Linked DNA regions of Callithrix jacchus. The protein of the gene in region 4 interacts with the protein of the main gene of each other region in a pairwise test. Links are inferred from orthologs where the notes say so. Each region holds a gene or a part of one and is shown on either strand. Other genes may lie near its edges.

Region 1 (3,409 bases), on a different chromosome or scaffold from region 4:
CTTTTAAGTGGAAAGACATTTTAAAAATGTGTTTTTTTTTTTTTTTTTGGTTGTTTTGCCTCAGCAACGCTATAAGGAAATGACATTGAGTAAAACATTATTAGAGGACATGCTATATGCATTGAATTCTTTACACAACTGTTTGGAAAAATGTTCCTGTATAATTGTGGTATAGGTAAGGAATCTGAGGCTTAAGGAGATTAGTAATTGGTGAGTTGAAGTTGAATCACATTTATTTAAATTAAAATCCACATGCTTAACCACAATGCTTTAAAGGCTTCCCTTGTATATGCTGTATGGTCAGTGAAGGGATAAAAGGAAAAACAACGGGAATATTCTATTCCCAAGGACAAACCTGTGGTATTCATCCTGGAAATAATGATATTTGTTTAATTGAGGTGCATATATTACAAATAGCAAAGTACCTTCCAAAATGTATGTCATTTAGTTATCACAAAAGTCCTACTGGTGGTTTGGGAGAGCATATAGCGATGCCACTAAGAACCTAACTTGGGGTCAAACAGGTTTAGGCTTAAATAGTAGCCCAGAAATTTATTAGCCCCACAACCACGGGGAAAGTAACCTCTCAGTTCCCTCATCTGTGACAGGTGATAAGATATGCCTGTCCCTCAGGCTCGATGACAGGATTATTTGTCAGTGAGCACATGCAATAAAAATGTTTGTGGTCTTGTTATACTTATTATGAATCCTGATTCCCAAGAGTAAGAAGAGTTGGCACCGGCCAGAAGGTTAAGAGAATGGGCCAAGTTTTCTTTCTTCAGTAATTTTCCTTTATCCCTTAGGCCATCCAATGGTGTAGAATGTGGGGTTTCCAATACTCAAGTTCTCCCGTCCCCACCCGGTTCAGCTGAAGGCCCATCTTCTAAACCCCTGACTCAAGGCGATACAACGCGTTCAGCTAAACTCCCTCCAGCCTTGCTTGATTGAGCAGCCCAAACTCAGCCTGGACACCCGCTTCGCCTCCCTCAAACACTGCGTCATAAGCCCCCTGCGAATGTTCGCCTGGAGCCTGGTTCTGGCTAGAACCCGGTCTTACACAGGGAGGACGATTTCGACCCCAATTGGCTGTTGCCCTGGCTGTTGTCTTGGTGGGGACGCGGGAGGCCACGGCGGGTATATAAAGGCTGCTGCTACCTGCGCCACACCAGTCCCGCCAGGACGGTGACAGTGAAGCACCTGGGTTGAGAGGGAGCAGTAAGGTAACCGCACAACCCCTGCCTCCCTGGCCCCCGCCGGCGCCTCAGCCGAGCCGGGTGTGGGGGGACCCGGGAGTGGGTCTCACTGCGTGTCGCCTGCCAACACCTTCCTCCCCCACCATCCTTACCCAGCCCCTGTCTCACCCAGCATACCTGGGCGAGACAACCCGGGTGCGAAGGACAAGAGATTACGACCGAAGAGCGAGCAAACCAGGAAGACAGCGGCCTCCTGGAGAGTAAAACGTGATCCCAGGGGCAGACACGTGGCGCTGCGTGAAGAAACAGACGAGGCTCTTCCCACCGTCCCGTTTGGCCAAACTTGACAGCTTCTGGGTCGCTGCCATCCAGACCTCTCAGAGCTCCCTGAACCATGACGGAGACCTTCAACATGAAAGAAGACCCTGTGAACCTGGGTGGCGGTGGAGCACACTCGTCCTCCCTGCACTCCTGGTCGTCCTGCTACCGAAGGCGCCGGGGCGCTACCGTGTACAATAGATGGCACCGCTATGGCCCCAAGACCGAGTATGGGCCCCCAAGGAAACAGCCAAAGCAACAGCACAGCCCGGGGTTTTGGTTCCAATCACCCGTGTGCTCTAACTGGGGGTGCTGGGGAGGGCCCTGGCGCCCACCCCCTCCAGTATTCTGGAGGCCCCCCGGCCGAGTGCAAGTGATTAGTGTGTACGGCCTGCACCCGCTCTGCTTTTGCTGCTGCTCCTGCTGGAGCGGATCCTGGAACCCTGGCTGGACGAGGTCCCCAGGCAAGAAGAAGCGCTGGGGCCGCAGGGGCCGCAGAGGTCGCGGCCCGCGCCACCACCCTCGCCGCTCCTCCTCGCGGAGCCCGCCGGGGGATCTGAGCATGCCGCTGCGGCCGGCCAGCCCGTACGAGTGGAGAGCGCCTGGCTTGCGAGCGCCGCGCAACACCACCCAGTTCATCATGGACCAGATCTATGAGGACATGAGGCAGCAGAAGGAGCTGGAGCGTCAGCAGGAGGCGAAGAGGGTGCAGCAGGCCGTGGTGGGCGGCGAGGCCTTCCCAGCAGGATCCTCCGGAAACAACGCGCCCCCTGGCGGCAGCGAGGAAACCTGGGCGCTGCAGGAAACTTTGTATGACCTTGTACAGAATCCTCTAGCATTCAGTCCTACCCCAGAGGAAAACCAGTCTCCTGCCCCTATGCTGGTGAAGGAAGAGGAGGAGGAGGAGAAAAATGATGAGTATGACCAGGAGGTGTGTGATGTAAAGGAAGAGAGCGAGGAGGAGGAAGAAGAGGTCGAAGATGATGAAGAGGAAGAGGTTGAAGAGGCTGAATATGTGGAGGAAGGGGAGGAGGAGGAAGAGGAGGAGCTGGAAGAGGAAGAGGAGGGCCTGGAGGAGAACAGGCAGGGAGGGGAAGAATTTCACCTGCCTCTGGAAATGCCTTTATCACTCTTTGTAGGGGCTGAAGAAACGAGAGAGAACTTTATAAACTGTACTTTTTTAAACCCAGAGCAGATAATTCCCAACATACCACAGGAATCCCTGTTCCTGGCACAGGACTTTAACTGTTAGACATCAGAAAAGGGATTGAGGAAAAGGATGGAACTGATTTGAGGCTAAACTAGATTAGCAATTTATTAAAAACTGATTAAAAAGTGAGTTCCATTAATAAACAGATCTATGTAAACACCTTCTTTGGCCATTAAAAAATGTTTAAAATTTGATGTGGTTGTGTATGACTATGGGTGGTGGGGGGAGGGAGCTTTCAAATATAAATTTACTGGAACTGGTTAAAGGCCAAATATTTTATTACTTACATTTGAATATTTTCATTTGATATCTTCCCCTCTAGAAAATTGGATTGTTTTTTAAATCTGATAATGCTGAAAAAAAATGCTTTGTTTTTGCAACAAATTTATACAACTTAGCCACTGCTGATCTTGGAATTAAGAAATAATATGTTACATGCTTAAGAAGAACATTCTAAGGCTACTGAATGTTCACCAGTGCTCTTAACAAAACTGAAGCCATTTTAAATTCCTGCATTTTTTCAACAATATTTTTCCTCATAGATTTTTCCACCTTCAGAGTTCATTTTTGAGGGCTGTATTTTCTTAACCCCATTTGCAGTCTCTTGTGGCATCGCTCATTTATATTCCTTGTTCCACAGTGCTATGGATCTTCCTCAGAAGAACATGAAGTTGCTTCTGTGGAACTG
Region 2 (3,500 bases), on a different chromosome or scaffold from region 4:
TTGGAAGGCTGAGAGGGGAGAATCACTTGAGGCCAGAAGTCTGAGACCAGCCTGGACAACATGGTGAGAACTCACCTCTACAAAAAATTTTAAAACTAGTTGGGTGTAGTGGAGCGTGCCTATAATCCCAGCTACTCCAGAGGCTGAGGCAGGAGAATTGCCTAAACCCGGAAGGCAGAGGTTGCAGTGAGCCGTGGTCATGCCACTGCACTCTAGCCTGGGAGACAGAGCAAGACTCTGTCTCAAAAAAAAAAAAGCTGGCCGGGCGCAGTGGCTGACGCCTATAATCCTAACACACTTGGGGAGGCCAAGGTGGGTGGATCACCTGAAGTCAGGAGTTTGAGACCAGACTGGCTAACATGACAAAACCTTTTCTCTACTAAAAATACAAAAGTTAGCCAGATGTGGTGGTGCGTGCCTGTAATCCCAGCTACTCTGGAGGCTGAGGCAGGAGAATCGCTTGAACCCAGGAGGTGGAGGTTGCAGTGACCCAAGATCGTACCATTGCACTCCTGCCAAGGCAACAAGAATGAAACTCCGACTCAAAACCAAAAAATAAAAAAAAGCCCTTGATTGGTAGAAATTTTCTCTGAGACCTGGGAGCATTTGGTGGCTAATGGGACTCGCAGATCCCCTGAAGTTGGAGGCAGGTCACTCAAATACCCAAATCTTGCTCTGCAGACAGCCCTGCACCTCCGGGCTCGGCGGAACTTCCAGGACTTCAGGGGAGTGTCCCGCCGCACTGGGGAGGAGTGGCTGGTGACAGTGCAGGACACGGAGGCCCACGTGCCAGATGTCCACGAGGAGGTGCTGGGGGTTGTGCCCATCACCACCCTGGGCCCCTGCAACTACTGTGTGATTCTGGACCCCATCGGACAGGATGGCAAGAATCAGCTGGGGCAGAAGCGTGTGGTCAAGGTGAGGACCCGGCCCCCACCCCCCACCACCACACAGAGGATGACCCTGGGAGGTGAATGCCCTCGAGTAGCACGAGACCCTCTGCCCTTTCTCCCTTCTTTCCTTCAGACGCACGTTCTAGGAACACCTTCTGTGTCTTTGCATGCTTAGTTCTCACGCGCCTGGGACACTGGCCCATTTGATTCCTGGCAGTCTCCAACTTACCCTTCAGACCTGAAGTTACTTCCCCTTCTGGGAAGGTCTTCTGGCTGCCCCCCAGCCCAAGACCCTGAAACTCTGATACAGTCGTGTGTCACTTAACAATGGGATGCATTCTGAGAAATGGTCGTTAGATAATTTTGTCTTTGTGCAAATGAGTGCACTTATGTAAACCTAGATGGCACAGCCTACTATACACCTAGGCTAGATGACGTAGCCTGCCCCGAGGCTGCCCACCTGCGCAGCATGTGACTGTCCTGAATACTGCAGGCAGCTGAACACAATGGTAAGTACTTGTGTATGTAACCATAGAAAAGGTACTGTAAAAATACAGTATAAGGCCAGCTGCAGTGGCTCATGCCTGTAATCCCAGCACTTTGGGAGGCTGACGCAGGTGGATCACTTGAGGTCAGGGGTTTCAAACCAGCCTGGCCAACATCGGGAAATCCCGTCTCTACTAAAAATGCGAAAGCGTGCTGGGTGTGGTGGTACACACATGTAATTCCAGTTACTTGGGAGGCTGAGGCACAAGAATTGCTTGAACCCAGGAAGTCGAGCCTGCAGTGAGCCAAGATTGTGCCGTTGGACTCCAGCCTGGGTGACAGAGGGAGACTGTCTCAAAAAAAAAAAAAAAAACAAAAAAACCCCAAAGCTCCATTATAATCTTACGGGACCACCATGTGCAGTCAGTAGTGGCCTGAATTAGCACGTGGTGACTATTTCACATCTTTTATGTTCTGGTATTCGCTTCGCTTTGTCATCTCTTGTAAAACAAAACTCTGTGTGTACCCTCTCCCACCCCATACCGCATCCCCTCTCCGAACTATATGTGGGATTACCAGGAGTTGCCAAACTCATTCTGTAAAGGGGGCTGGATGGTAGATATTCCAGGCTCCATGAGTCATTTCCGTGGAAGTTCTTCCACTCGGCTGTTACGTCCAGAAAGCAGCACGGGCAGTACGTAAACAAGTGAGTACTGCTGCATTCCTGGAATATTTCATTTGCAAAAAACAGGAGGCAGGAAAAGTAGAAATAGGCCGGGGTTAGTGGCTCCCACCTGTAATCCCAGCACTTTGTGTGGCTAAGGTTGGCGGATCACCTGAGGTCAGGAGTTGGAAACCAGCCTGGCCAACATGGCGAAACCCTGTCTCTACTAAAAATACAAAAAAATTATCTGGGTGTGGTATCAGGTGCCTGTAATCCCAGCTACTCTGGAGGCTGAGGCAGGAGAATCACTTGAACCCGGAAGGTAGAGGTTGCAGTGAGCCGAGATTGCACCGCTGCACTCCAGCCTGAGTGACAGAGTGAGACTCTGTCTAAAAAAAAAAAAAAAAAAGAGTAGAAATAACCCAAATGTACACCATTTAACGAATAGATAAAAAATTGTGGCATATCCATACAATGGAATATCATTCAGTCATAAAAAAGAAATGGCAGGCCAGGCACAGCAGCTCATGACTATAATCCCAGCTCTTTGAGAGGCCGAGGCAGAGGATTACTTGAAGCCAGGAGTTAGAGACTAGCCCTGGGTAACATAGCGAGACTCCATTTTTACTTTTTTTTGGAAACAATCTCACTCTGTCACCCAGGCTGGAGTGCAGTGGCGTGATCTGGGCTCACTGCAACCTCCGCTTCCTGGATTCAAGCAATTCTCCTGCCTCAGCCCCACAAGTAGCTGGGATTACAGGTGCCTGCCACCACGCCCAGCTAATTTTTGTGTTTTTAGTAGAGATGGGGTTTCACCATGTTGGCCAGGCTGAGCGAGACCCCACTTTTACAAATATTTTTAAAAACTGGCCAGGCATGGTGGCACACTGGTAGTCTCAGCTACTTGGGAGGCTGAAGTGGGAAAATTACTTAATTCCAGGAAGTGGAGACCATACTGTGCCACTGTACTCCAGCCTGAGGCAACAGAGTGAGATCCTGTCTCTAGGAAAAAGAAAACAACGAAATGACATAATTTTATGTGCTACAACATGGATTAAAATTGATAAACATTATAATAAGTGAAAGAAGCTGGCTGGGCGTGGTGGCTCAAACCTGTAATTCTAACAGTTTGGGAGGTGGAGGCAGGCAGATCACCTCAGGTCAGGAGTTCAGACCAGCCTTGCCAACATGGTGAAACCCCATCTCTACTAAAATACAGAAATTAGCCAGGCATGATGGCGGGTACCTGTAATCCTAGCTACTCAGGAGGCTGAGGTAGAAGAATCGCTTGAACTGGGAGACAGTGGTTGCAGTGAGCCAAGATCGCACCACTGCACTCCAGCCTAGGTGGCTGAGCAAGACTCTGTCTCAAAAAAAAAGAAAAAAGCCAGACATCAAAACCACATGTTGCATGATTCCATTAATATGAAATGTCCAGAATAGGTAAATAAAGAAAA
Region 3 (4,005 bases), on a different chromosome or scaffold from region 4:
TTATTCTTCCAGATATAGTCGGTCTTTCAAAAAATGCCTAAAATCATTGTTTGATACTGTATTATGCTAAAAGTGCTTATAATCAATCTGTGTACATGAATGTGGCATCTATGTAATGTATGTTTTGTGTGCATGTGTCTGTGCGATGTGTGCTTACATATATGCATAGGATGCATCTATAATGTGTGGGGTGTGTTTGTATATGTATCTGAGGTGTGTATGTAGTGTGTTTATGTGTGTGTATATGTGCCTATGATGTGACTGTGTGTGTACATGGGATATGTTAAGGTATGTGTATGTATGTGCACAGAATGGATGATGTGTGGTATGTTGATGTATGTGTGGAGTGTGTATGGACATGTGTGAGGTGGAAGAGAGATACTAAGGCCCTGGGAGTGCTAGAATGCTCAGGACATGTGAGAAAGCCAGGCTTGGTCAAACTCCCCTGCCTTCTTGGGGAAAGCAGAGCCATGACCATGACCCTTTCTGGATGTTGCTTGTGGACAGCAGTGTGGGTTAATAGGGCCAGTCTCTCCTGAAGTGCCCTGCCCAGTCTCCCACTCACTTCTCTCCTCCATCTCTCGAGAAAAGGGTGACCGATCTGTCCTTTTAGGAAAAGGAAGCTTCCAGCATGCCACTAAGTAAAGGAGCCTTACTGGTGGTCGTGAAGGTAGTACCACCAGATCAGGATCAGGCTGGCCTTTGAATCTTCAAACTGAATAGGTTAGCTGCTGAGTGGAGCAGGAGTCAGGAGGAGATCCCTCTACAAAGCAGTGGGATCTTTGTTCCCATTATTAGGTGTAAGTGCCCAGTGTGGGTCTCGGTCTTTTCTCTCCTAGGTCACTTTAAGATAGCACACTTCTGCCCAGTTCTCCTGGATCTCACCCTTCTGAGTGTTTCACCTCCAGGTTGCTCATGGCCTCCTGAGTCCAAGGTAGTCTCCTCATTGGGAGGAGGCTCTACAGTGATCTCTGGCAAAGCTGTGAAGAGGTGACTGTCATCTTGGGCACATCACCTTCCCTTTCCCTGTGGGCCTTCCTTTGCTCTGCTTCCTGAACACCATGCTTTCTAGTTCCTCCTGGGAGTGAACATCCGTTGCATGGGGCATCTTCAGGCCATGCAAAACTCATGCTCCCATCCTGTTCCTGCATGTCTCTGGGTTCAGTGTCCTGTCTACATCCTGTGGCTTCAGCCTGAGGTTGCCCATATTCCCTGGCTGGATGGAGTGGCTAAGCCCTGATATCTCTCTTCCCAGAAGAGATGCATGGACTCAAACTTCTCCAGCCAGGAGGAGGATCAGGTGTGCCCAAGTCCAGGGTGCAGGTAAGTCCGTCTGCCATTGGCTTGAGGCTACGAGAATGGGCCTTCCCTTGTTAAAGGCAGTGTTCATTGGGTATGTGTGTAAGGAGGGTAGGGGAGCAGGGGGTAGGGCAGTAAAGAACAGGGCAGGACTTCACGAAGTGCCAGGATTCAAGCAATCCTCTGGCATTTATGTGACTTATTTGTATTGGACCACCAGTTTGCTGATTCCAGGCTCCTCCAGTTTCTGCTCCTCGCTGGTGGCTACCTGACCCTGTGGTGTCTGCTCCCTTCACCTGCTGTTGGCCACAGGACAGATGTGTAGGCCAAGGAAGAATAGGACAATAGTGTTTGGGGCAGACAGGCCTGGGTTCAAATTTCAGCTCCTTTCCTAGCTCTACAAACCTTGGACATGTCATCTGTCTTCTCTGCCAGAGATTCAGATTTCTCTCTGGTAATTGGGCTAATACTTATTAGACTTACTCTGAAGATTAACTGAGATGATGTATATAAATTGCCCAGTTCAGCCTCCGGCATCTGGTACTCAACACATAACTCTTCTCCCGGCTTTCTCTCTTGCATCTCCCCATCTTGTTTTTGAGTGGATCACTGAACCACAAATATCCACTTGGCAATGAAGTCTGGGGAACAGGGACAAATACCAACACTTCCCAGTTTTAGATTTACATGAGACTAACAGCTTTCCTTCCCACAGTGGCAACAGTCAGAGATTTGCAGAGCAGATGCCTTGGTGTGAAACTGCTCCCAGGAGGTGTCCTGTAAATGTTTGCCGACAAAGCAGCGCAGGGGTTGACCTTCCAGCTCTGCCTCCCTGCACCAGGCTGGGAGATTCACCCACCCCCACCGTTTCCTGTGCGTTCCTCTTTCTCAGAGGTTGTGGGCCTGTCCTGCTGTCCAGTGGCACCAGGCTGTGGGATGGGGGGGCCAGCGGGGTGGTTGGAGCAAGCTGCTCCCATCTGGACCTGTGTCATTCAAGAGGAGGCTCAAAAGAGTGTTTTAGGACGCAGGGTTTGGGAGGGGGATGCAGCCTGATTGGGGGCGACCTGTCCAAGCGCAGAGAGCACTTTTCCAAACCCCACTGCCCTGGGCCATCGAATGCTCCTTTGCTCTTGCTTGGATCTAATGATTATAGGTCTGAGCTTCAAAGCAGGTTATAAACCCGACTAATTGCTGGTCTAGGAGAGCTGGGCGAGGAGGCCAAGCCTGCCCATTGTGGGCACCCCGGACTGAACTTGTGGGGTTGGCCCTTCCAACTAGGAGCGCGGTGCTGGAGCCTGGAGCCCCTGGGTGGCCGCGCCGTTCCGCCGGCTACTTGGGTGGCTGCCCTCGCGCTCTGCGCGGGTCTCCGGCGCCGCCTCCCCCACCCCGGACTGGCGCTGCTCCGGCAGGTGGACCTCTCTTCATTCAAACCCGCGCGAGCCAATCAGAGCCGGGCGCGCCCGGGCCGTTCCAACGCGCAGTGCAGCCAGGCCTCCCGCTCGCGCTTCTCCCGCCCTGCAGACGCCTCCGCCGGGGGCGGTGAGCCTGCTGCCTCGGTTACTGGGAAGCAACACAGCCGCCTCGGGTCGCAGGCGCTGCTGTCCGGGTCGCAGCGGGACGCCATGGAGCGCTCACTGCACCGCGTCTCCCTCGGGAGCCGGCGTGCCCGCCCGGACTTGTCTTTCTACCTCACCACCTTTGGTAAGTGCCCGCTGGGGCTGGCGGCAGGGGCTGCTTCACCCTGCTCGCAGCGCCCAGAAACGCAGCCCCTCGTGGTGACAGATGAGGCTGGGAGAAGGTGCTCTTCCCATATGAGGGCACCGTCTCTAACCCCTTTGTCCTGAGACTCTGCTCAGGGCACAGGCTCAGGACAAGCAACTTGCTGAACACCACCTGCTGCCCAGCCATGGGTGCCAACTGCAGTTGGTTCTGCCTCACTTGGCTGGAATAATCACACTCTCGTTAATCTTTCCGAGACCGGGTTGTCACCACCGAGTTTCTCATTAGCAAGCAGCTCAGGTTAAATCAAGGTCTTGTTATTGCAACTGGAGATCTCATTCACCCACTTTCCTTTGGCTCAGGGAGCAGACAGGTGCTGGGTCCTTTGGCCCTGCTGCTTTGCGGGCTCACCTTGGAGGCTGAAATCTGACTTCGTTGGGTATTACAGCCACAGTGGAGATGGGAGAATTCTCTCCTCCAAGACAGAACAATCCCTTAGGAGGGTCCTAGGGCTTCCTCAGGGCTTGAGGTGGAAAGAAATAAACAGTAGGCCTCACTCCCAAGCCCGGAGGTAGCAGACTGAGTTCCCTCAAGTAACAGGTGGGCAGCAGCTGCCCAACAGCGTGGGCAAACCTGGCCTTCCCGGTAGCCATAGTAAAGGTAACAAGGCTTCCCTAGAGTGTAGCCCTTCATTTTCTCACTGGTCCTGTAACCCTCTGTGGAGAGGGGTTATTTTTCCTCTGTGAAGACTGGAAACCAAGAGATCTTCCATGAGCCAGTGGCAGAGTTGGTATCTAAACTCAAGCCTTCCAGAGATGACCTGTCCAGCACATTTTTGTTTGAACTTGCATACAATTTCCTTCTAAATGTTGGGGCTATTACTGCAACATAACTGGACTTTGCCCAGCTTTCAGAGACAGAGTGCCCAAGGAGTTGGTCCCTCCCTGGGGTTCCTGGCTCTTCTGCTTTCAGGCTTACTCTTGTCCA
Region 4 (2,597 bases):
TTGATTATTGGTATAATCTAATAGGTCATTATTTAGGTTTATACTCTGTGAATACATATATGTTATATTTAATTAACATCTGAATAATTTCAATTACCATTTTTTAGGAAGAATAGAGTATAAGAGCTAAACATTCCATGTTTAAATATTAACTTTCAAAAGTTATAATAATACCAGAGTTTTACAGTGAAGGAGTGTTTAAAACCTGTCATTCTTTGGGAGAGAATCATGTTGTTCTTTAATAACAATAATTTAAAAATTGGTAATATCTTGTGAATATGAATAGCGTATTATTTATGGTACAGATTAGCTTCCAGGAGAAGTTAAGTGTAGCATGATTTCCTGAAGATTAAAAAAATAAATACATCTTTTTAAAGATAATATGCGTAATGAATATTATTTGAATATAATAATAAATTATCTGAAATTTTTTGAATATATGGCATTTGTAAAATAACATTATTGGTTAGGCATGAAATAAATTGTAACTAGATGTAATAGAATGAAATATAATTTATATTAAAACTAATAAGGCATTAATTAATATTTGGTAGTAAAACAGAGATCATGATTCAAAGCGGTTTTTCATAGAAAGTTTCATTAACAATTGTAAAAACTCCTATGTCCTTTTTCTCAAATTCACAGTGAGTATTAAAAAATGCATAAAAGCCTTTATAAATCAGTTATACAGAAGATAAACTCAATAACTTGCAAAGCAAAAGTATACAACCAGAGCTACCAGCATTACAGCTTAATTTATATAGGTATGAGTTTAGATAGTCCTGATCAATATACAGACTTCAGATCTTCTAAGGAGACTTTCACTAATCCACTACCACACTCCTGATCTTTGTTCCTGGTTGCCACTGCTTTCAAAAAACATGAAGTCCTAGACAAAAACAAAAATACACAAATGAATTTTCAGCAACAAAACAGAGATCAATTATCAGATGCAGAAATGCTAAGGGATCTAGTGAAACACAGTAACATATCTGTTAAAAAATTAACTGTAATAAGTAAATAGAAGAGAAGAGCTCTATAATTATATAAGTTCCACCTTTAGCTTTCCATTTTAATAATAATAGAATTCTATAATTCTATTTATTTATTGATACTTGTAAGAATTTAATTAATCTTCTGGTCTTTTTCTCTAAGTGTTCTCCATCCCCCTAATTCTCATCTTTGGCTGCATATTAAAATCACCTGGAACACTATACAAACTTTGAAGTTTCTGATTTAGTTGAACTGAGGTATGGACTAGTACTTGGGAGTTTTTAAAGGTCCCTAGGTGATTCTAATGTGAAGACAATTTCAGAAGCACTGGTATAAACAATCATTTCCTGTAATTTGGCAGTTAAGTCTACACACTTGAGTGAATGTATACTCTTACTGTAGTTCATACTCCTATATTAGATAGTTTAGTTTAATTATTATGAGTCATGGTAAAGTTTTCTTGTTTCACTAAATTTTTTCCACACACCCACTTTCAACTCTTCCTCAAAGCATCTAGGAGATGCTTGATTTAAGGAGAGACTAAAATATCTCCTTAGTACATCTCCTTAGTCCCTCACTTGCCATGTGAAAATCCATAGTCTCTTCAGATAGAAACTAGTCACCTGTGACTCCAGAGGGTTAGGATCAAATAGAATTTCAGAGCTAAGATTAAATGGGAATCCTGGTTTAAAATCTACAGATTTTAAAATATAATTTTGAAATATATACTTTACTGAATCACTTCAGAATAAACCTAGAGAAACCATCTATAATCAAGATTAGTAAGAACAGACTTACAATGAGGAAACAGGCACCAAGCATTACAGCTTTCATTTTAACATCAAGGTCTAAAGGGAATTGGATCCCAAAGTTATCAGCGTCTGTAAATGCCTCTCTCAAAATTCCAGTCCAGTGCTTGGAAATTTTGCCAACTATATTTTGTTCATCAAGAGATTTAATCTAAATTGAAAAGAATTATTAAATATTTTTAGAAAACTTATAGCAAAAGTACTTTCAAATTTGAAGATGAAACAAATACGGCATTAAAATTATGGCCCATATGTAACGATGAACATGTAACCCTCATTAGATACTTAGAGGCTCCTTTATCTATTATAGACATATGAAAAAGAAAAGATTTCATTGTACAGAAAAATTATATGAAAGTAGTTTTTCTGAAATATTTAACATTTTCTATTAATACAGACATTAAAAAATTATTTGAATTGACCCAGAAGAAAATTTGAGCAAAAAAGGATATAAATATGAAATGTTTCTTTGATGACAATTCTGGAAGCCATCAGGAAGGTAATGAACAAAACTCCCATTAGATTTCTGCTTTAGAAGAAGCATAGTTTACACAGACTGAAAGATTAAATATGATGAAAAGGCTTATTACCACCCACTGTGAGTTGCCAAACATGAAATGCTAAAAGCCTGGAAAAGATTAGCAGTTTTGAGTAAAGGCAAATACCTAATAAGTAACTTGATGAAATGCACCATGTCAAGGGTTGAGGTAAGAGTGGATAAATAGCAGGGTGTGAGCAATAAAAGACGAAGAGTATATGAACAAATGAGCTCCAAAGTAGAAATTTTCCAATTTT
Region 5 (3,500 bases), on a different chromosome or scaffold from region 4:
CAGGTGGAAGATTCTCCTACCTCAATCTCCTGAGTAGCTGGGACTATAGGCAGACATAACCATGCCCAGCTAATTTTTGTATTTTTAGTAGGAATGGGATTTCAACATGTTGGCCAGGCTGGTCTCAAACTTCTGACCTCAAGTGATCCACCCACCTTGGCCTTCCAAAGTGCTGGGATTATAGGCATGAGCCACCATGCCTGGAAAATGTATTTATTTATTTTGAGATGGAGTCTCACTCCATCACCCAGGCTGGAGTACTGTGGTGTGATCTTGGCTTACTACAACTCTGCCTCCTGGGTTCAAATAATTCTCATGCCTCAGCCTCCCAAGTAGCTGGAATTACAGGCACACACCACCACACCTGGCTAATTTTTGTATTTTTAATAAAGTGGGGGTTTTGGGCTGGGCGCGGTGGCTCAAGCCTGTAATCCCAGCACTTTGGGAGGCTGAGGTGGGTGGATCACGAGGTCAAGAGATCGAGATCATCCTGGCCCTAAAAATATAAAAAAATGAGCTGGGCATGGTGGCGCGTGCCTGTAATCCCAGCTACTCAGGAGGCTGAGGCAGGAGAATTGCCTGAACCCGGGAGGTGGAGGTTGCGATGAGCCAAGATCGTGCCATTGCACTCCAGACTGGGTAATAAGAGTGAAACTCCGTCTCAAAAAAAAAAAAAAAAAAAAAAATGGGGGTTTTGCCATGTTCGCCAAGCTGGTCTCTAACTTTTGACCTCAAGTGATTCACCTGCCTCAGCCTCTCAAAGTGCTGGGATCACAGGTGTGAGCCTCCATGCCTGGCCTTCAACCTGCCTCTTTAACACAAAGGTAAAGGTGAAATAGAATTCTATCCTAGTTTCAAAGTTATGGTCGTTAGATACCAGCTTAGGCAGAAAGAACAGAAGAGGTAGTGTGGTAGTAGCTAAAGGGGAAATAATTAGAAGAGAAGGAGAAAGAACATTTAAGTGAGGAGATGGTAGTTAATTTTCTTTTTTTTTTTTTTTTTGAGATGGTGTTTTGCTCTTGTTACCCAGGCTGGAGTGCAATGGTGCAATCTTGGCTCACTGCAATCTCCACCTCCTGGGTTCAGGCAATTCTCCTGCCTCAGCCTCCCAAGTAGCTGGGATTACAGGCATGTGCCACCATGCCGAGCTAATTTTTTGTATTTCTAGTACAGATAGGGTTTCACCATGTTGACCAGGATGGTCTCGATCTCTTGACCTCGTGATCCACCCACCTCGGCCTCCCAAAGTGCTGGGATTACAGGGGTAGTTAATTTTCAAACAATTAGGTTTATTCTATTTTAACCATTTCCCTTAATGCTCCCCCTTCAACAGTCTATTTGTTATTTTTAAAAGAGAGAAAAATTATTTTTAAATGGCAGTTTGGAAATATGAGCATAGCTATATAATCTATATTGTCATACTTTTCTTTCCAAATGCCTTTCCAAACGAGTAAGTGCTTCAGTTTCTCCACCTGGCCACACTGCAGAGGATAAGCCATCTGTATCAAACCCTAAAAGAAAGAAAAGAAAAAAATATCATTCTTCTGAAACTCAAATAATTTTTATTTAACCCCAATAACTGGGAGAATAAATTACTTTGCAGAAAAATTGAGAGAGTACCATAAAAAGGAACTGAGGGCCTAAAAAAGCCCTCACCTAAAGAGGATATGACATAGTTTGACATGGTTTCAATTTTTTAGGATGTACATCTTAAGGTGATAACAACAGATTACATATCTATAGAACACATAAATGATGAACAAACATATCACTTCTTAAAGAGTTCTTTCTTTCTTCTTCCCCCACCCTTTCTTTCTCTCCTAATGCAAAATACTTTACATGGCGAAATTGAAAGGGAATTTTTCTGAGTTATTTATGATTTATTAACTTTTAAGACTCACACTGATTATAGTTTATACTCACCTAGCTCCTCCAGTGAAGGGACTCCATATTTCTCATCATGGTCATCAGACAGAGGAGTTGTGCACTTTTCTATCACTTCTGAAGTAATTGTCTCTACTGGTATCTCTAGTGGTTCCATTTTGCTGATGAGAGTCTGGAATCTTTTATAAGTTAGAGGCGGTTGTCCACCATTGAGTTCTATGATCCTATAACAACAGTTAGTAAAATGTAGGTTAGTATAAAAGAGGGCAATAAGTTTTGGTTAATAAGCTCCCAAAAGGCTTAAAAAGCAGAAAATAAAATTAATCACTGAAATCTTCAAGGAGAATGTTAGCTTGTTATAGTGACGAAGAAATGTGTTCAAAATGATTAATGAGTTTAAAAATCATTCCCTTTAGCTTCTAGATACTCTAGGTATCAAATATATACACACTATGCAAGTATCAAAACCTTTAAGACAAAGAATATTAAGGACTTATGAGAAAAAAAACCAAGTAAGTAAGTAAATCAGTCTAAAGGCAATAACAAAAAGTTAAAACACACAGACATATGCAAAACACGTTATGGCCCAGCTCAAAGAATCTCTCAATCACCAATAAAAACTAAACCAGGTTGACAATTATATGAAAGAGTAAATCAGCAGGTGTCATTTAGAAAAAATAAATTTAATTGTGTATATTTGAGCTTTACAACACGTTATGGTATGCAAGTAGACAGTAAAATGGTTACTATAGTGAAGCAGATTAACGTATTTATAAATCTCATATAGTTACTTTTTTGTATGTGTGTGACAAAATCAGCTAAAATCTACTTGATAAAAATTCCAAATAAAATACAATTTTAATAACTAAAACCCTCACTCTGCACACTAGACCTCTAGACTTGTTCATCTTATATAACTTCTACTTTGTATCTTTGGATCTACATTCCTGATATGGTTTGGCTGTGACCCTACCAAAGTCTCATCTTGAATTGTAACTCCCACAATTCCTACATATTATGGGAGGTAACTGAATCATGGGGGCAGGTCTTTCCCATGCTGGTCTCATTATAGTGAGTAAGTCTCACAAGATCTGATGGTTTTAAAAGGGGGAGTTTTACTGCACAGCTCCCTCCTTGCCTGCTGCCATCCATGTAAGATGTGACTGGCTCCTCCTTGCCTTCCACCATGATTGTCAGGCCTTCCCAGCCATGTAGAACTGTAAGTCCATTAAACCTCTTTCTTTTGTAAATTGCCCAGTCTTAGGTATGTTTTTATCAGCAGCCTGAAAACAGACTAATACAATTCCCCTATTTCCTTCAGCAAATTTTATTAATTTGGATTCTATATTACTATAAAAGTAAATTACAATTACTTTCTATTTACCATTGTACTCATGCCTTCATTAGAGATGTCAGCATATGTATCTATGACACATACTTAGAACACATAAGCCCCCAAATTTCAAGTTATTTAAATTTACCTTTTCATTTACTTCTGATCACTAATTACCTCAATCAAGTCTTAATTAAAAAAAAAAAAACAACTAGCTTTGCCAATGGTAGTTTAGATTAAGTTTAAACACTATTTTGGAATAACTACTCTTTTTCACTATGGC
Region 6 (3,987 bases), on a different chromosome or scaffold from region 4:
TCCCTGACACTCATGGGGAGGAAAGAAGCCCTTTCCCTGTTGGAGAAGAAAAGCCTATCAGGGTACTGGTGAAGGCAGGGCTGGAGTTGGGTGTTGACTGTAATCTTGTAGCTCTTGTCTACTGATGTGCAGGGTGCAGTCACCGGTTTTACTCTTATCTTTAACCTCTTCCCCCATCTTTACCCTTACATACTACTCATCCTTCCCGTTTCTCCTTAACACTTGACTACCTGGCCTGCCCTATCCCATCTTGATTTCACTTGTTCTACCCTCAGCTGTCCCCTCTTGCTCTGCTTTCATTTTTAAAATTTGAGATGGGATTCAAGCGATTCTCCTGCCTCAGCCTCCCAAGTAGCTGGGTACAGGTGCACACCACTACACCTGGCTAATTATTTTTAGTAGAGATGGGGTTTCACCATAGGCTGGAACTCCCGAACTCAGGCGATCTGCCAGATGGCCTCCCAAAGTGCTGGGATTATAGACGTAAGCCATCGCCCCCGGCCCGGTCTCCTGCCCTGCTTCCAAATGCTAGCTAACCTGTGAGCCTTTCATCTGTCTCCTTTGCCATCCTCAATGGTGACTCACTTGTCACCTGCTCTGCTTTTATCTGCTAGTTCACATGCCTGACTCTCACCTGATGCTTCAGCCTGTATGCCCTCACCCGCTCCGGCCAGGTCAAAGAGTCTTCGTCCCTAGATTCCCGTGTGCTCTCCAGGGCGGGACCTTCCTGGGGAACGGGAAAGCGGAACTTCAGTCCAACCAGGAAGCACCTGGGAGTTTTTGATGCGGAAAGGGCGGTGTCTTCTAGAGAATCTGCCAATAAAAGGCCGAGATGAAAAGGGTGATTGAGCCAATGAGACTAGGAGACAGGATTGCGGGGTGATCTGTAAAGTGCAACGAGCGGACCGGACGCGAACGCCAAGACAAGGCGGATCTAATGACGGGAAAGGGCCAGTGAAGCTGAGTAGGGACGGTGGGTAGGCCGAGCGGGCCATGTACCCTGCATCCCGATCCGACAGAATTTGGAAGTCCTGGGGCTACTCTTACGTTCAGCTTTTAGGAGCGGACAAGGAAAGCCACTACCACCCTGAATATCCTGGCTCTTACCCCACCTTCACTCAGGTGGTCCGGAAGCGGAAGTGACGAACACGGAAGTAGCCTACTGTTGCCGAGGGGACGGGCCGGGCAGATGCCAACATGGCAGCAGTTGGGGCTGGTGGTTCCACCGCAGCGGCCGGGCCAGGGGTGGTTTCCGCGGGTGTATTGGAGCCGGGGACCGCGAGTGCCGGTGAGACAGTCTGCGGCCGAGCAGTGGCGTGGAGGCAGAGGTCACGATTGTTAGGAGTTGGGAATGGTCCTTACTAAAGTGAGAAGGAGCATCCCGTGTGGTCCGACGTGTGTGTGCGCGCGCGCGCGCACCTTGTGAGTGTGTTGGGGGCGGGGAAGAGAACATTGTGAGGTTGATTGTGGGATCCCTCCGCATATGGAGAGTAGAGACCATTGTCAGTGTGGAGGGTATTTCTTTTTGGGGAGGCTAAGGCCACCGAAACCATTCTGAATGTGTGGGGTCCTTCCGTGTGGAAGAGACCATTCTGCGGGTGTGGGAGTTCTTCGTTGAAGGGAGAGACTATTCTGAGGGTGGTGGTTCCTTCCTTATAAAGGGACAGAGACTATTCTGAGGGTAGGTCGACTCCTTCCTTATATGACTAGAGAGGGTCCATTTTGAGGATGGGGATGTCCTTCATTATGTGCAGAGAAGATCGTGCTGGGGGCTCCCTTCCTAATGGAGGTAGAGATCGTTGTACATTCGGGTGGAGGGCTCATCGTTATATGGTGGAGAAAGAACATTCTGAGGGTGCCGGGTCCTTCCTTACAGCAGAGAGAGCTAATTGTGAGTGTGGGTAGAGCAAGGAAAAGTTCATTAGCTAGAGGGTCGGTGTGCGGTGGTGGGAGGATGGTCCCTTTGGAGTGCAGGGAAATATGTCCTCATCTGTTTGAGGGAGCCAGACCATTCTTAGTGGGATAACCATTTCTGATGCAGGATTCAGTCCCTGGGAGCATGGGGAAATCAATTCTTATATTTAGTAGATTATTCCGGGTCAGGAGGAACCAGTTGTCACAGGAGGGAGGGGTTGGAGAGACCATTCTGAGTATGAGGAGGATCATTCCATATGTGATATAGGCCATTCTGAGTGTGAGGGAATCAAATAATTTCTTAGATGGGAGAATGACCAGTCCTTAGGGGGTGAACATACCTCATACAGTGGCGTCATTCCCTGCACTGATTTATTCTTTACATGGGCCAGTCCCTCGTTAAATAGGAGCATCATTTCATATAAATCCTCAGTTTGCTCATCCATAAAATGGGAATCCTTGCAGTTATTTTAGAGATGAGAAAGATATGAGAGTCTCTTGAAGTAATCCATAGAAATCCCTTAACCCAGTGATAGGTACACATGAACAATAAACATGGAGAATGTAATTGTCAGTATTCTGCCTGGGGAAGAGTTGCTTCTCACTTGGGAGGGAGCCAAGGCACACGGCCAGGGTTTACCTCAGCCATTCCTGACACCTCGGTAAGGGTTCCAGGTATAGACTGGACAGGGTGGGGCCCATTTCTCCCTTCTGGCTCTTCCTGCTCATGGCTGAGGTAGTAAGCTGTTAGGAATCAGACTTTCATTGGGTGAGGGCATGCAGGCTAAGGGAGCAAGTAGCGGTGGCTAGGAGGGTCCTGGGTGACAAAGTAGAGGGGGTGGGTGGTGGTGTGGCTGTGCCCCAGTGGCTTCTGACCCCTCCCTTACCCCTTGCTCCTTCCATTCCCCACAGCTCATAGGCGCCTGAAGTACATATCCCTAGCCGTGCTGGTGGTCCAGAATGCCTCCCTCATCCTCAGCATCCGCTACGCCCGCACATTGCCTGGGGACCGCTTCTTTGCCACCACTGCTGTGGTCATGGCAGAAGTGCTCAAAGGTCTCACCTGCCTGCTGCTGCTCTTCGCACAGAAGAGGGGTACGAGCCAGGGAGGGGTACGATCCAGGGAGGGGGCTGCACTGGGGTCAGTGGGTGGGACTCCTTATGTATGTGTGTGTGTTCACACAGAGCGTTTGCTTCAGTTGTCTCCAAATCTGAACCTGCCTGGGGAACCCTTCCAGCTGTGCGTAGCTGCATCTTACACTTTTCTAGCCCTAAAGGTGGGGAGCCGGCCTGTGTGGACTGTAGGAGTGATTGTCTATACTTATAAAGTAGCAGGGGGATGGCACATGTGATTTAGTCATCTTTAGCTTCATATTATGGAGAATTCCAAATGCAAACTTAGAGAGAATAATCAAATAGTAAATATCCATGTACCCATCCCCCAGAGTCAGCAAGCAACTCCTGGCTGCTCATTAATCATCATCAGTGATTGTCCACTCACTGCCAATCTATATGTCTACCTATGTCCTTATCCCATTCTATTTTGAAGTTAATCCCACACAGAGTAATATTGTATGGAAGAAATTCCCCCATATTATCTTGAATAAATGTTTTGGTGCGTTTTTTTTTTTTTTTTTTTTTAAATAAATAATCCCAGCACTTTGGGAGGCCCAGGTGGGCAGATCACCTGAGGTCAAGAGTTCAAGACCAGACTGACCAAAATGGTGAAACCCGTTCTCTACTAAAATTACAAAATGAGCTGGGTGTTGTAGTGCATGCCTGTAATCCCAGCTACCTGGGAGGCTGAGGCAGGAGGATCACTTGAACTCAGGAGGCAGAGGTTGCAGGGAGCCAAAATCTCGACATTTCACTCCAGCCTGGGTGACAGAGCGAGACTCTGTATCAAAAAAATAAATAGCCAGGCACGGTGGCTCATGCCTGTAATCCCAGCACTTTGGGAAGCTGAGGCCGGCAGATCACCTGAGGTCAGGAGTTTGAGACCAGCCTGGCCAACATGATGAAACCCCGTCTCTACTAAAATTACAAAATGAGCTGGGTGTTGTCGTGCATGCC
Region 7 (3,500 bases), on a different chromosome or scaffold from region 4:
GGGTGACAGCTCTTTCTGCACTACCATGTCTGGTACTGAACTTAGAGGAGTCTTAGAATTCTAAATCGGAACATGGCCTTGTTGAAGGTAGGTATGCCAAGATGGGAGCAAAGAACATATTGCACTCAGAAGTTACAAATCCAGCTGTGGAACTGTTAAATATCTAGGCACAGCTCGTGGACCTCTACTTTGTACTCTTGCCCCTTAAATATTAGCAGCAGGCCTTTCTACAAGCACATGGAAAACTAATAGCCAGAAGGCCCTACCGGGAATCTTCTTGGCCCAGCTGATCATGTGTACCAACTCCTCGTCGGCCAGCTTGGTCAGGGACATCATCATGGAGGCCTCAGTGAAGGGCACGCTGGGGCGGCTGATCAGCACATGGGGCGGTTCGGCCTCCAGGAGGGTGAGCACCAGCTGCTCGGGGCTCAGGGCGCTCAGCAGCAGCTCCCGCACTCGGGGCACGTGACCACCACTTCTCTTGGCCTTGCCGGCGCAATGCAGCTGCTCCTCGGCATTTCCCTGTCTCCGCACAAGGCGGTACCCACATCTCTCTCTCCGGGAGCCTGAAGAGGAAAGCAGAGTCATTCGAATTGCCAGGGTAAAACCACAGTCAACTAAAAGAAGCCTGACTCTTCAGCGTGTAGGGCACATATCAAAGATTACTATGGTCTTGACTCTACTAGCAAACCAACAACATAACTTTTCAGCAACTTTTCAGGTCTCCATTTCCAGGTCATCTCTAGATGCTAACTCCATTTCTCTATAAAGAGCGCTCACATACCTGTTTCCAAACCATGAAATTAGGAATTTTCTTCAGGTAGAAAAATGGGGATATTTCTGAAGGTATCAAATAATACACTTTTATTATAACACATTCTTAAAATGTTTATATGCATGTGTGCATATATTTATATTTCTTTTCCATACTTACACAAAACAAGTATATTTCAAAAAACTAAGTGAAAAAAATCTGGAGAATATAAAAGAGAATAAATTTTGGCATAAACTCTTTGAGTCTTTTTTTTTTTTTTTTTTTGAGACGGAGTTTCGCTCTTGTTACCCAGGCTGGAGTGCAATGGCGCGATCTTGGCTCACTGCAACCTCCGCCCCCTGGGTTCAGGCAATTCTCCCGCCTCAGCCTCCTGAGTAGCTGGGATTACAGGCACGCGCCACTGTGCCCAGCTAATTTTTTGTAATTTTTAGTAGAGACGGGGTTTCACCATGTTGACCAGGATGGTCTCGATCTGTTGACCTCGTGATCCACCCGCCTCGGCCTCCCAAAGTGCTGTCTTTCAGTCTTTTTAATGCTTTTATGTTTTTCCATGTTTTATACACAAAATTATTTATTTATTTATTTATTTATTTATGAGCCGGAGTCTCACTGTGTCAACCAGCCTGCAGTTCAGTGCTGCAATCTTGGCTCATGCAACCTCAGTCTCCAGGTTCAAGCAATTTTCCAGCCTCAGCCTCCTGAGTAGCTGGGAATTATAGGTACCTACCACCACACTTGGCTAATTTTTTTTTTTTTTTTTTTTTTTTTTGAGATGGAGTCTCACTCTGTCGCCAGGCGCCAGGCTAGAGTGCAGTGGCACAACCTTGGCTCACTGCAACCTCTGCTTCCCAGATACAAGCAATTCTCCTGCCTGGGCTGCCCAAGTAGCTGGGACTACAGGCACATGCCACCACGCCCAGCTAATTCTTGTATTTACTTAAATAGAGACAGGTTTTCACCACATTGGCCAGGCTGGTCTCAAATTCCTGACCTCAGGTGATCTGCCCATCTCAGTCTTCCAAAGTGCTGGGATTACAGGCATGAGTCACTGCGCCTGGCCTTTACATACAAAACTAGATTGTAGTATATACACAATTTTATTTTCATTGTATTTTTGAGAAAGAGTCTCACTCTGTTGCCCAAGGTGGATATAGTGGTGCAATCATAGCTCACTGCAGCCTCCATCTCCTGGGTTCAAGCAACCCTGCTACCTCAGCCTCCTGAGTAGCTGGCACTCCAGGAACATGCCACCATGCCCAGCTAATTTTAAAATATTTTTGTAGAGATACGGTCTATGTTGCCCAGTGCTCAATAGTTTGACTATTTTCTCAGACCCATTTGGCATTAAAAATCATTTTTAATGTGTGCTAATCTAACAAATGACTAAACCATCTTGCTTTACTTTGTATGTTTTAATTACTAGCAAATTTGATTTATATGCTTATTCTTTGTATTTATTTATTTATTTAGAGACAGGGTCTCTCTGTCCCCCAAGCTGGAGTATGGTGGAATGGTCATGATCACAGCCCGCTGCAACCTCAACCTACCAGGTTCAGGTGATCCTCCTGGGTAGCTGGGACTACAGTGTGCACCGCCACACCTGACTAATTTTTGTATTTTGTGTAGAGACAGGGTCTTGCTATGTTGTCCACACTGGTCTTGAACTCCTAGGCTCAAATGATCCTCTTGCCTTGGTCTCCCAAAGTGCTGGGATTACAGGTAGAAGCCACCACATGCAATCCAATATTTAAAGTTTTTGTGATACAGAAACAAGGTGGAACCAAAATACCTAACAATAACATGTAAGATGAGAGATGAATGACTTTGGTTAGAATTTCTAAAATTCTTTTTTTGGGAAGATAAAAGCTTAAATTCTCATATTAATCAAGAACACATGTTGAAAAATAGAAATGTCACTAAAGGAATTTAAATGTGGCTAAGCATGGTGGCTCACACTTGTAATCCCAGCACTTTAGGAGGCCAAGGGGGGGAGGGATCACTTGAGGCCAGAAGTTCAAGACCAGCCTGAGCAACATGGTGAAACCCTGTCTCTACTAATAATACAAAAATTAGCTGGGCATGGTGGCATACCCCTGCAATCCCAGCTCTTTAGGAGGCTGAGGAAGGAGAATCACTTGAACCCAAAAGGCAGAGGCTGCAGTGTGCTGAGATCGTGCCATTGGACTCCAGCCTGGGTGATATAGCGAGACTCTGTCTCAAAAAAAAAAAAGGGAAATAAAACAGAATGTATGACTTTCAAACTAGTAAAAGAAGAAAAATAAAACAAAAATGTGATTAAATCCTAAAAGGAAAGAAGTAGAAAATACATAAAAATTTTAAAATCACAAAATAAGATAGAAATGAACCCAAATATTAGTTATCACAATAAAGAAAAAATACTAAATTGACCATTTAAGAGTGACTCTGAAATCCTATATATTTTTAAATCTAGACATAGATTAGTCATAAGAGATATACCTCACATACAGAAAAACAAAGTAGACAGAAAAATATATAACAGGCAAAAATTAATCAAATAAATTGATGTTACTCTATTGATATCAGACAAACTTTAAGGCAAAATTTATTATTATAGATTAGGAGACTCATTTCTAGAATATTAATAAAAGATAAATAATTCTAAACTCATATACTTCAAAACAACATAGGCCAGGCACAGTTGGCTCACACCTGCAATCCCAGCAATTTAGGAGGCTGAGGCTGG

Evidence for each region.
Region 1: the proteins of phospholipid scramblase 1 (region 4) and CCER1 interact in a two-hybrid assay, tested with the Homo sapiens proteins (2 studies listed by BioGRID and IntAct). The two-hybrid records come from large-scale screens. The link is inferred for Callithrix jacchus from reciprocal best matches to the Homo sapiens genes PLSCR1 and CCER1.
Region 2: the proteins of phospholipid scramblase 1 (region 4) and MVP interact in a two-hybrid assay, tested with the Homo sapiens proteins (2 studies listed by BioGRID and IntAct). The link is inferred for Callithrix jacchus from reciprocal best matches to the Homo sapiens genes PLSCR1 and MVP.
Region 3: the proteins of phospholipid scramblase 1 (region 4) and RGS3 interact in binary tests that used the Homo sapiens proteins (3 or more experiments, as listed by UniProt). The two-hybrid records come from large-scale screens. The link is inferred for Callithrix jacchus from reciprocal best matches to the Homo sapiens genes PLSCR1 and RGS3.
Region 5: the proteins of phospholipid scramblase 1 (region 4) and CRY1 interact in a two-hybrid assay, tested with the Homo sapiens proteins (2 studies listed by BioGRID and IntAct). The link is inferred for Callithrix jacchus from reciprocal best matches to the Homo sapiens genes PLSCR1 and CRY1.
Region 6: the proteins of phospholipid scramblase 1 (region 4) and SLC35A2 interact in a two-hybrid assay, tested with the Homo sapiens proteins (2 studies listed by BioGRID and IntAct). The two-hybrid records come from large-scale screens. The link is inferred for Callithrix jacchus from reciprocal best matches to the Homo sapiens genes PLSCR1 and SLC35A2.
Region 7: the proteins of phospholipid scramblase 1 (region 4) and ESR2 interact in binary tests that used the Homo sapiens proteins (3 or more experiments, as listed by UniProt). The link is inferred for Callithrix jacchus from reciprocal best matches to the Homo sapiens genes PLSCR1 and ESR2.

The regions. Positions count from the first base shown.
Region 1 is NC_133510.1:90,189,116-90,192,524, forward strand, and holds CCER1 (coiled-coil domain-containing glutamate-rich protein 1), read left to right. Parts: upstream 1-1,167; 5' UTR 1,168-1,220; intron 1,221-1,349; 5' UTR 1,350-1,587; coding exon 1,588-2,763; 3' UTR 2,764-2,909; downstream 2,910-3,409. UniProt on the Homo sapiens protein: Regulator of histone epigenetic modifications and chromatin compaction into the sperm head, required for histone-to-protamine (HTP) transition.
Region 2 is NC_133513.1:29,674,046-29,677,545, reverse strand, and holds part of MVP (major vault protein), read left to right. Parts: intron 1-681; coding exon 682-918; intron 919-3,500. UniProt on the Homo sapiens protein: Required for normal vault structure. Vaults are multi-subunit structures that may act as scaffolds for proteins involved in signal transduction. Vaults may also play a role in nucleo-cytoplasmic transport.
Region 3 is NC_133502.1:161,766,176-161,770,180, forward strand, and holds the start of RGS3 (regulator of G-protein signaling 3), read left to right. Parts: upstream 1-1,205; 5' UTR 1,206-1,220; coding exon 1,221-1,323; intron 1,324-2,818; exon of another isoform or gene 2,819-2,921; coding exon of another isoform or gene 2,922-3,000; intron 3,001-4,005. UniProt on the Homo sapiens protein: Down-regulates signaling from heterotrimeric G-proteins by increasing the GTPase activity of the alpha subunits, thereby driving them into their inactive GDP-bound form.
Region 4 is NC_133518.1:38,674,083-38,676,679, reverse strand, and holds the end of phospholipid scramblase 1, read right to left. Parts: intron 2,302-2,597; exon of another isoform or gene 2,200-2,301; intron 1,954-2,199; coding exon 1,792-1,953; intron 890-1,791; coding exon 833-889; 3' UTR 501-832; downstream 1-500. UniProt on the Homo sapiens protein: Catalyzes calcium-induced ATP-independent rapid bidirectional and non-specific movement of phospholipids (lipid scrambling or lipid flip-flop) between the inner and outer leaflet of the plasma membrane resulting in collapse of the phospholipid asymmetry which leads to phosphatidylserine externalization on the cell surface.
Region 5 is NC_133510.1:109,859,856-109,863,355, forward strand, and holds part of CRY1 (cryptochrome-1), read right to left. Parts: intron 2,109-3,500; coding exon 1,924-2,108; intron 1,512-1,923; coding exon 1,423-1,511; intron 1-1,422.
Region 6 is NC_133524.1:49,472,968-49,476,954, reverse strand, and holds the start of SLC35A2 (UDP-galactose translocator), read left to right. Parts: upstream 1-1,187; 5' UTR 1,188-1,197; coding exon 1,198-1,288; intron 1,289-2,826; coding exon 2,827-3,009; intron 3,010-3,987. UniProt on the Homo sapiens protein: Transports uridine diphosphate galactose (UDP-galactose) from the cytosol into the Golgi apparatus, functioning as an antiporter that exchanges UDP-galactose for UMP.
Region 7 is NC_133509.1:98,924,358-98,927,857, forward strand, and holds part of ESR2 (estrogen receptor beta), read right to left. Parts: intron 567-3,500; coding exon 267-566; intron 1-266.